Linked DNA regions of Caenorhabditis elegans. The protein of the gene in region 2 purifies or fractionates together with the protein of the main gene of each other region. This does not show direct contact. Each region holds a gene or a part of one and is shown on either strand. Other genes may lie near its edges.

The links.
Region 1: the proteins of glrx-10 (region 2) and Y53G8B.1 fractionate together in Caenorhabditis elegans (co-fractionation; one large-scale study listed by BioGRID). This does not show direct contact.
Region 3: the proteins of glrx-10 (region 2) and gst-43 fractionate together in Caenorhabditis elegans (co-fractionation; one large-scale study listed by BioGRID). This does not show direct contact.

Annotation. Positions count from the first base shown.
Region 1 is NC_003281.10:3,127,378-3,131,132, reverse strand, and holds the start of Y53G8B.1 (maleylacetoacetate isomerase), read right to left. Parts: upstream 1,857-3,755; 5' UTR 1,789-1,856; coding exon 1,725-1,788; intron 1,231-1,724; coding exon 1,166-1,230; intron 1,120-1,165; coding exon 946-1,119; intron 783-945; coding exon 702-782; intron 268-701; coding exon 128-267; intron 75-127; coding exon 1-74.
Region 2 is NC_003279.8:1,047,985-1,051,315, reverse strand, and holds glrx-10 (Glutaredoxin-1), read right to left. Parts: upstream 1,721-3,331; 5' UTR 1,714-1,720; coding exon 1,630-1,713; intron 912-1,629; coding exon 678-911; 3' UTR 589-677; downstream 1-588. Other genes in the region: Y34D9A.8 (Low-density lipoprotein receptor domain class A), read left to right, coding at 187-392; Y34D9A.7 (PSP proline-rich domain-containing protein), read right to left, coding at 3,130-3,331.
Region 3 is NC_003279.8:2,899,512-2,903,266, forward strand, and holds gst-43 (maleylacetoacetate isomerase), read left to right. Parts: upstream 1-1,813; 5' UTR 1,814-1,829; coding exon 1,830-1,890; intron 1,891-1,931; coding exon 1,932-1,996; intron 1,997-2,643; coding exon 2,644-2,823; intron 2,824-2,869; coding exon 2,870-2,950; intron 2,951-3,152; coding exon 3,153-3,289; intron 3,290-3,342; coding exon 3,343-3,463; 3' UTR 3,464-3,495; downstream 3,496-3,755. Other genes in the region: copa-1 (Coatomer subunit alpha), read right to left, coding at 187-1,192, 1,245-1,290.

The DNA.
Region 1 (3,755 bases), on a different chromosome or scaffold from region 2:
GAAACTCTGGCAGCTCCGCTAGCTTATTGGAGATTCGAGTAATTATTGGGTAGGGCGTCATGTCCACGTGGTATCTGGCAATTTTTTTTTGAACAAAAATGTGCTTTTTTAAATAATTTTTCCTTACTTTTCTATAGCATTATACACAATTGATGGAAGACAAATATCAGCGATAGAAATTTGATTTCCGACGCAAAAATCTCCAGAGTGCATTTGCAGGAGCTCTTCGAGAGCCTTGAATCCTTTGCTGATGAAGTGTTGGCACCACTGGAAAAATTCACTTTTTAAAGAATTTTTTATTGATTTCTTGAAGTTAAGAGTATAAAAGGAAAAATTAATTCAATTATCGAATTCAGTGCATTAAGAGCTTAAAAAAGTATAATTATAAAAAGTATTATAAATATATAAAAAGTATAATACACAATAGCTACCGCAACCCTGAGGGGTTTCGTGGCAAGACCCCAATATGGGTATCATCTTGAAGCTCTTGGTGAGCTGAATATAAAATTCGTATTTGAAAATCTAAAAAGTTAGGTCTCGACGAGGAAACTGCGAAGTTTTTTTTTTCAAAAAAAAAAAACAAATTTTTATATAAATTTTTTTGGAATTTTTTTTAGAAATTGCTTTAAATTTTCAGATTTTTAGGAATTTTTTTACACCTACAAATACTAACTACTCTATAAAATTTTTTTTGAACTCACAAAATCCCCATAGCCGGGCTCTTTCTCATTGAGCATCAGGTAGATCGGCTTGTTTTGCAGAGGCTGGATATTTGAGGCGATCTGAAATTTTTCTATTATAGCAAAATCGAGAAATTATTTCTGGTCTCACCGCGAAAACAAACCTACCTATTTTGTGGGGGTCTTGGTGAACTTAATTCGAATTTTAAAAATTTTAATACGAAAATAACACAGTTTAATATGTCTATAAATGCAACAAACATACATGAAAAGCAATAGCTCTCGCGCGAGCTTTGAGCTCGGGCTCTTTCGGCAAAAGTGGTGGGTCTGGGTAGATTTCATCGAGATATTCGATTATTGCCATGCTTTCTGTCAGAGTTAGACCGTTGATTTTCAGAATTGGAACTTTTTCCGCAGGATTGTTCCCATGGAATTCTTGCTGAAAATGGAAAAACTTGGAGTTAGGAGCAAAATTTAAAATTTACCTCTTTCTGTTTGTTCAGCAAGTTCACGGGTTGATATTCATAGTCGATCTTTTTCAGAGCAAGAGCTGAAAAAATTTAAAAAAATCCCATATTTTTTTTTGTCTTCTGAAGTTCAGTTACCTGCTTAGATATAGACCTCAAAAATTCCTATATTTTGTTAGTTAAAATTTTTTCGATAGCTCTTCTCCCCGCTGAGATATGCGCGTTTTAAGTTTAGGCAGCGAGAGAGTGTGGAGGGAGGGGAGACGCAGGTGGCACTAGTTGTCTGCGTCTCTCCCCCTTCCACAATGTTTCTTCACGTCAACTTTAAAGGCGCATAACTCTGCCGAGGAAAGAGGTACGAAAAAGTTGTAAACTGGCAAAATATAGCCCTTAAAATATCCAACATTTTGTTGATTGACAATTTTTGATAACTTCGCACTCTGCAGAGATATGCGCCTTTGAAAATTAGACAGCCTCTGCGTCTCCCCTCCCTCCATACTCTCTCACCTTCTTGACTTTAAAGACGCATAGTTCAACAGTAAATCAGGATTTACAGATTTTTTTTTGGAAAACTCACCAGTTCTAACTCTTGACGAACATCCTGAACTCCAAGAGGAGTACAATATAGGTTTTGCTGCCATTTTCTAAAGAAAGTCAATGTGTTTGTGACAATTTTGGAGAAAAGTGATAGTGATGAATGATAATGAATGATAAAGGTCAATAACATGTTTAGGTGAGAAATCGGTGATGTTTGGTAGCAAAACACAAGGTGTAATGATGTTTTAGGTGTAACTTTGCAATGAAGAAAGTTATCAAAAAAATTGTTGACTATTAAAATATAGCCCTTGAAATTTCCTATATTTTATTGGTTGACAACTTTTTTTTAACATTGATAGAAACAGAGATACAAAGGGCTGAAACTGCACGGGTTGTTGCCTGCGTCGCTCCCCGCCCATTCAGTACTTCTTTTTTCAAACGTTAATATCTCTGCTAGGAAAACTGTTCTAGAAAAGGTGCAAACTGAAAAAATATAGCCCTTGAAATTTCCTATATTTTATTAGTTGACAACTTTTTCTAAGTTTTTTTCCCTGCAGAGATATGTATCTTTGAAAATTTGTAGGTGAAAGAACGCGCAAATTTTTTGATGTCTAACTTGTGCCCAATTTCTTACCACAAAACATATTCTGATTATGTTCTCTGACCTGATGTTTGCTCATATCTTATTTTTTCAAATAATACTGGTTTCTAGTTGGAGGCCCCGAAACGTTAAGAAAAAAAATTTTAGGAAAAAAAAAATTGACTTTGATCATTGCCTCCTTATCAGTTTTAACGTACATTCCATAATTTCTTAACATTTTCTTATCACTAAGTGACTAAGTTTGCTCTGAGAGCACATTTTCAGCTAGCAAACCTACATTTTCTTACAATTTTCCCTCGAAATTGTAATTTCGAAACTCTTAAACGGGTAACAATCGAACAAGAATCAAAATTTTAACCAAATTTTAACAATTCAATGTAGCCCTCAAAATTTCCTATATTCTGTCAGTTAAAAACTTTTTATTTCTCTTCTCTCCGTTGAGATATCCGCCTTTAAAATTGACGCCATAAAATAGTGTAGAAGGGGGAGAGACGGAGACAGCGCGCGCTGCCTGCGTCTCCCCTCCCTCCACACTTTCTCGCTGCCTAAACTTTGAACGTGCATATCTCCGCGGGGAGAAGAGCTATCAAAAAACTTTTAACTAACAAAATATAGGAATTTTAAATGGTTATATTTTGTTAGTTGAAACTTTTTGAAAATCTCTCTTAGATTTTGAGATATTTCGGTTTCAACAAAGAATCACTGAAAATCGCTTTTGGATTTGAAATAAAGCTATTTTGGTTCAGGAAATGAAGCATTTTAGGAGAAAACCGCATGATATATTAGAGGACCACATTTTGATCTTTCAAATATTGCTTCCGGCAGATTTATACATTTTTATATATTTTTGTGGATGATTTCAGGGAGATTCAATTTTTTCCAGTTTTTGTAGATAATTTTAATTGCCCCATTCAAAAATGACTAACCAAACTTCCAAAAAACCAAAAAAAAACAAGAGACGATACGCAGAGTACACTGCGATAACATCTGCGTCGTCGTCTCTCTCCACACATTTTGAGAGACCGAGCGACGAGAGAGTGACAATTTGTGAAGAGAGTGGTGAGACGACGAGACACTATCGAATCGCCACCCCCCACACGGACGTATTATACAAGCAAAAAGCCACGTTTTGAATGGCTTAAATCGATTATAAAGTTGACAAACTGCTTGGTTTTTAGTCTTTTTCTTGAGTTTCTTATCGATTTTAAAGGAAATTTGTGGATTTTTATTGGTTTTTAAACAGAAACTAATAAATGCATTGAATTTTTCACTATTAAATGGCTGAAATTGCTGAAACAAACTTTTCCGCTCGAGACCCATACGATAAAACTGCCCCATGCTCCTTTAAATCCACAGTACCACTTTTTTCTTCTTTTTCTTTGGTTTTCTTGTTTTTTCTGTTTTTTTAAAGAAAAATATAAAATAGATGTTTTCCGATGAGTTTATGAAATAAACCCAATTAAAACTAAT
Region 2 (3,331 bases):
AAAAATTCCCGCATTTTTTGTAGATCAAACCGTAATAGGACAGCCTGGCACCACGTGTGAAACAACATATCTTTTTTGAAAATTTTGCAGTAAATCTCATGGTATGCGCCAAAAATTAGCCAAACTTCGCAACACACCGAATTTTACGCGCATATTCATCAAAAACCTTTTTTTTTTAATTTTCAGGCACCGTCACAATCCAATACTCGCACATTTTCTTCGCCTTTGTCGCGTTTTTCGTTCTCTCGGTTGCCGTAGTCGCTGTGATTCGTCGGCGATCACGACAAAAATCCGGATTTCGAAATCGACGTGGCGGCGGGCACGGGGGCCCGAGCATACTGCAACAGGATTCCGACGAAGACGATATTCTAATCAGTTCTATGTATTCTTGAATTTCGTTTTTTTTTTGGCACGTGGGGTGCCAGGCTGTCCCATTACGGTTTGATCTACAAAAAATGCGGGAATTTTTTGCCCAGAAAAATGTGAGAACTCTGCGTCTCTTCTCCCGCATTTTTTGTAGATCAGCGTAGATCAAGCCGCAATGAGACACTCTGCTAACACCACGTGTTTTGGCTGTACTACTTTTCTCTCTTTTCTCACTTTTATCTCGGGTTGTGTCATTGAATTATGAAGAAAAAAATAAATCAAATACATAAAAATTAATGGCGATTCAAATTCTATAGAGCTCCGGTTTCCTTGAGCAGTGCGGCGAGTTTTCCGTTCTTGGCTCCGGCCGCTGTGTCGTCACCGCCGCCGAAGAACTTGCCGTTGATGAAGACACGTGGCACCGAGCGGGCTCCGGTTAGAGAGCCAAGATAATCCTGAATCTCATTGCAATCCTTGCGCTCGTCGATTTCGATCCATTGCAGAGCGTCGGGCTTCACGTTGACCGATTCAAGAGCAGCACGAGCCTGAAAAATTGGGGTTTTTTAATTTTTCTCAAAAAATTATTTTAAAAAATGTATCCGAGACTCAAAAATTTTGCAAAAAAAAGATTTTGAAAATGGATAATATTTTTCTCAATTTTCACGGATTTCTGGCTTCCCTCATAAATTGAAATGGAAGAGTTTTTGCCGAACTAGGCCATTTGGCTCGGCCATATCTGGGGTAGATTTACGGCGCGTTGCGTGTCGCGTCGCGGCTCGATTTCAGTTGTAAAACTAAATGTATTTGTCCGTGTGGAGTACACGACACTTTCCCACGCGTTGTCCGGCAGCCGATTGTCAATGGAGCGCGAAAAATTCAATGAGGAATGCCAGAACCCCGTGACAGATTTTTTCGCAAATTATTGATTTTTGCCGTTGTCTTCAATTTTCCGAAAATTTCTCAAAAAAAATCGCTACGAGACCCAAAATTTCTGCATTTTCAGAAAAATACAGAAATGTTTGATTTTTAAGTTAAATTGAATTTGCAAAATTTCATACTGGTGCAACTGCGCTCTGTTGCACACGATTTTTTAAAATAATTTTTTTTGGAATAAATTTTTCAAAAAAATTGGGAAATTTCGCTGAAAATCCAGAAAAAAGCAAATTTTTTAGGACAAAATTGTTCAGAAAAATTTTTTTTTTTTTTTGATGACAAAAAGCAATTTTCGAGGAAAATTCAAATTTTTCAGAAAAATTGTGTTACCTTATGGCAGTACGGGCAGTACGATTTGCTGAATACGACAACTTTGGAAGATTGGAGAAGTCCGTCGACAAAGGCTTTTGACATGGTTTTTCTGAAATTTTTTGGTGTTTTTTCTCAAATTTTTGTTGAAAAAAAAAGGCAATGAAGTATAAGAAAAGCGTAGAGACAATTTGAATTTGAAAAAAATTGGGGAAAAAAAAATTAGAAATCACATTATCATCAAATAAATAATATATATATATATATATTAAATTTACAAAAACAAAATTCTGCGATATTATATAAAAAGGGAAAACATAGGCTTTAAAAGCAGCAAAAACTGAAGAAAATGATGATAAAAATGAGAGTGGAAATAGTGTATGGAAATGAGAGAGTGGCGAGAGAAAAAGAGAAACGGCGGCGACAATGACGTAAGAATCATGACAAATAGTGTTATTAGGCGAGGAAAATTCGGGAAAAAATACAGTTGTGAAATACAGAAATTTATAAAAAAAATTTTAAAGAAATTTCGAAATTACCGCCGTGCGGTGGAGCACAAATGCATTTTTGATATTCGATTAAAAAAAAATTTTTTTTTAATTTTTGGGCTTTCTAAAGCTAAATGATTTTTTTTAACTTTAAGGAGTTTTTAAAAAATTTAAAAAAAGGCCTTGCAAATGCGCTTCATCGCAAATTTGATGGTAGAGATGAAAAATTGGAGAATTTGAAATTTTCACGTGGTGTCAGAATGCCTCATTTCGATTTGATCTACTTTGATCTACAAAAAATGCGCGGGGACTGATTTCGCATGGTTAAGAAAGCGCTGACGTCACAACATTTTTGGGCGAAAAACTCCCGCATTTTTTGTAGATCAAACCGTCGATGGGACAGCCCCTGGCACCACGTGAATTTTGGGAAAAAAAATTTTTAAAAGGTTTTTTTAAACGCTTTTTATTTTAGACAAATCACTTTTTTTTAATTTGAAAATTAGTTTTTTTGCACCAAAAAAATTTCAAAAATCGGAAAATTTTGAATTTTTGGGATCACTTTTACTTAAAAAAAAACTCGTTAATTCGGAAAATTTTACGATTTTTCTGAAAAAACTCTGCAAATGCGCTCCATCGCGAATTTGCTGGTAGAGATGAAAAATTGGAGAATTTGAATTTTTGGCGGTACTTTTTGCCGAGTTTTTGAGAGAATTCATCAACTTTTCACGAAAAATTGATATTTTTAACGCTTTTTCTGATGAAAATTGCAAAAAAAACCTTTAAAAATTGGGCTAATAACACTTTTTTCAATTAGAAAATTAAAATTTTTGGGATAATTTTTTCCTTTAAAAATCCCATTAATTTGGAAAATGTTACGCTTTTTATGAAAAAAAAATTCAAAAAAAAAATTCTGCAAATGCGCTCCACTGCAAATTTGTCAACCATGTGAAATTTTAATTTTTAGGATAATTTTAGGATAAATTTAGGCTAATTTTAAAGTCGAAAATCCAAAAAAAAAAAAAAAATCAATAAATTATTCCTTCTTCTTCATCTCATCATCTCCACTATTTCTTCCAGTGATCCCTTTCAAAGTACTCATAATTTTTTTGAAAATGCCACGTGGCTTCTCCTCCTCTTTCGCCTCGAATGGCACAATGCCGACGGAAAACGCTTCGAGCGATGGTACAGTATCCTCAATCCACGTACCCGTGACGTCACGGCGGGAGAAGATCGGG
Region 3 (3,755 bases), 1.9 Mb from region 2:
TTCGCTTAATGGGGCACATTTAAAGTTTTTCATTTAAAAACTACTGAGACTCCACAAAAACATGATTCAGTGCGCCGGAAAATGCATTTTCGCAACTCTCGCACGCTTTTTTTCGCAAAAAAAAAACGCTAATTCTGTGCAAAAATGCATTTTGCGGCACACTTTTCTTGGCATCAAACTACTCACTTGGTTGTCAAATCGAGCTTGCGAATTTGTTGTCCCTTCACATAGAAAACCAAATTATCACTGACACAATAAGCCGGGCGTTCTCTTTGAATTTTAAAAACGACCATTCCATTGTCATGTCCTGCGGCGAACATGTTCAAGCTTGGATGGGCGGCCAAAACCCAGAAACGCTCATTTTCATGTCGGAAAACGTGAAGACTGGTACGCTTCTGCATATCCCACACACGAATCGACTTATCCTCCGAGTTGGAAAGAATCAAGTCAGCATTTGGATGGAAGATCACAGATGAGACGTTATTGTAGTGTCCACGGCACGAGTCGAGCTCCCAGGCTTTCGTCTCATTGTAACGCCAAATCTTGACTTGACGATCATCGGATCCCGAGACTAGAATTGGATTGGTATGATGGAATGCAACCCAGTTGACTCCACGATCGTGTCCCTCTAGCACATGCTTCACAACTGCATCAGGTTGCCCGAATAGCTCAGCTTGTTGCCCTCCGGTTGGCCGGCTTGGAGCACCTCCACCAGGCATTTGCTTCTTCCGAAGTCCAGAAATATCCCAAACACGGACGGTCTGATCCAAGGAGGCAGAAGCCACAAGATCTTCGGTTGGGTGGAATTGAGCACACATGACGTAGTGATTGTGTCCGGTGAGGATGGCGATCGAGTTTCGGCTCTGCCAATTCCAAATCCGAACCGTTTGATCGTCGGACGCAGAAATGATCCATGGATACTTATGATGGAAGAAAGTGGTACGAATATAATCCAAATGTCCGAGAAGTGTGAAAATACAGCGTTTCTGCTTGTAATTCCACACTTTAATCTTATAATCATCTCCTCCAGACACAAAGATCGGCTGATCATGATGGAAGCAAATTCCTCTCACTGGACCATCGTGCTCGTCGAACTTCTCGAGAAGAACGCACATTCGGTAGTCCCAGAGTTGAATGACTCCACTGTGCAGCGATGTGAGCACCCATGGCCGAGTTGGGTGGAACGAAATTCCTGGAAAATTGGGAAATTATTGAAAAATAATGCCAAAAACCAAAATATTTACCTTTAACCCTAGCGGATTTTGATTCAAATTTGATAAGGAGCGACATGATATCCGATTTATAGTCGGTAACCAGTCAAAAACTGCTCCTCGGCGTGAATGAAGGTTCTGAAATTATGGAAATGACACGTGGATATATAAGAATGTTTAAAAAAAACAGACAAAAATGCAAAAAATCAATGAAAAAACTTGGAATTTCGATTAAATTGATAAAGAAACTACGAAAAATACCATAAAAATTAAGAATTTCAGAGATAAAAATCGGTAAATCCACGTTAAAAGAGACAGAAAATGGAGAAAAGAGGACAACGTGGAAACCTGCGCATCAAACGGAATGTGTGCAAACACGGCGACGCGAAACTGCACAGTTTAGGAAAAATGACCGTTAAAGGGGAATTTTAAGTGGGAATTGACATAAAAAAGTGCTGAAAATTGAGGAAAATGGAGGTTTTATTCGGAGAAAGTAGTTTTTAACTGAAAAATTAGGGTTTTTGAAGATTTTTCCCACGTGTTCATATTTAATTTCTTCTCAAAATGTCATTTATTGCTTAAATATTTCAATTTTCTTCTTTAGAAGCTTCTAACTCCATGGCAAAACCGATTTTATATTCATATTGGCGTTCGTCGTGTGCCTGGAGAGTTCGCATCGGTAATTTTAGCTTGGAAATTCTATAAAATACTGATTTATAGCACTTGCTCTGAAAAATATCGACTACGAATACCGGCCAATCGACTTATTTTCTGAAGAATCCAAGGTTAGAAAATTTCCGGCAAATTGGAAAATTGCCGGAATTGAAAATTTCCGGCAAAATTCGCCAGAGCGGCAAATTGCCGGGATTGAAAATTTTCGGCAAATCGGCAAAGTGCCGAAATTTAAATTTCCGGCAAAATTCGGCCTAGCGGCAAATTGCCGATTTGCCGGAAAAAACCACAATTTGTCGAAAACTTTTGGCAACGGTAAATCGGCAATTTGCCCAAAATTACAATTTCCGGCAAATCGAAAATTTAATGAAAATCAAAATTTTCGGGCAAATTGGAAAATTGCCGGAATTGAAAATTTTCGGCAAATTCGGCATATTGCCTGAATTGAAATTTCCAGCAAATTGCTAGAATTGAAAATTTCCGGTAAATTGGAAAATTGCCGGAATTGAAAATTTCTGGCAAAATTCGGCAGAACGGCAAATCGCTGATTTGCCGGAAAAACACAATTTGCCGAAAACTTTCGGCAACTTGTGGTTTTGCACATTTTTTTCTGGAAATTTCAGAATTTCAATTTTAATCGGTAAAATTCGGCAAACGGTAAATCGGTAAATTGCCGGAATTGAAAATTTCCGGCAAACCGGCAATTTGCCATCCACCCCTGCCCTACTCCCACTTCCATAGAAATATAGCTGTATTTCAGAACAATGCAGAGTTCGTCAAGCACAACCCAGCGAAAAAAGTTCCAACTTTAGTGATAAATGGCTTATCACTGACAGAAAGCTTGGCAATAATCGAATATTTGGATGAAGCCTATCCGGATCCTCCGTTCCTTCCAAAAGAATTGGATAAGAGATCGTATTCAAGAGCTATCGCACTTCATGTGAGCTTTTAACATTCTTTAACAACTCTAAGCGAGCTCTTTTCAGATAGTCGCAAGTATTCAGCCACTTCAAGCAATCAATATCCACAAAATGCTCAATGAAAAGGAGCCGGGATACGGTGACTTTGTGGGTTCTCACGTGGTGTCAGAGTGTCCCATGTCGGGTTGATCTACCTAGATCTACAAAAAATGCGGGAGAAGAGACGCAGACTTCTAGAACGTGCTGCTGACGTCACATTTTATCGGTGAAAAAAATTTCCGCATTTTTTGTAGATCAAACCGCAATAGGTTCCAAGAGGCGTTTCCCGATAGTTCAAAATGTATTTCAGTGGTGCAATCACTTTGTGAACAAGGGATTCTTAGCTCTCGAAGAACTTTTGAAGAAGCATTCTGGGAAATATTGTGTTGGAGATCAGCTTACAATTGCTGATATCAACTTGCCATCGATAATTTATAATGCGAAAATGTAGGTTATTTCAAAATTTTGAATTTTTAAATTAAAAATTTTGAAATTTCCAGCTACAAAGTCGACATGTCCAAATATCCAACTATTACTCGAATTAATGAGATTCTGGCGGAAGATTTTAGATTCAAATTGGCTCATCCAGATAATCAGCCAGATGCTCCAAATAAAAACTAATATTGAACAATGAATAAAGTTTTTAATTGAGACTATATGTTTAAGATTTAAAAATTTGGAAATTGCCTGAAATTCAGATAGCCGTTCAGCAAATTGCCGGTTTGCCGGAAATTTTTTATTTCGATAAGTTGTCGGTTTGCCGGAAATTTTCAATTCCGGCAATTTTCCAAAATTTGCCAGAAATTTTGAATTTTGACAATTTGCCGATTTGCCGGAAATTTTCAATTTCGGCAATTTTCCGAATTTGCCGAAAATTTTCAATTCCGGCAATTTTCCGAATTTGCCGGAAATT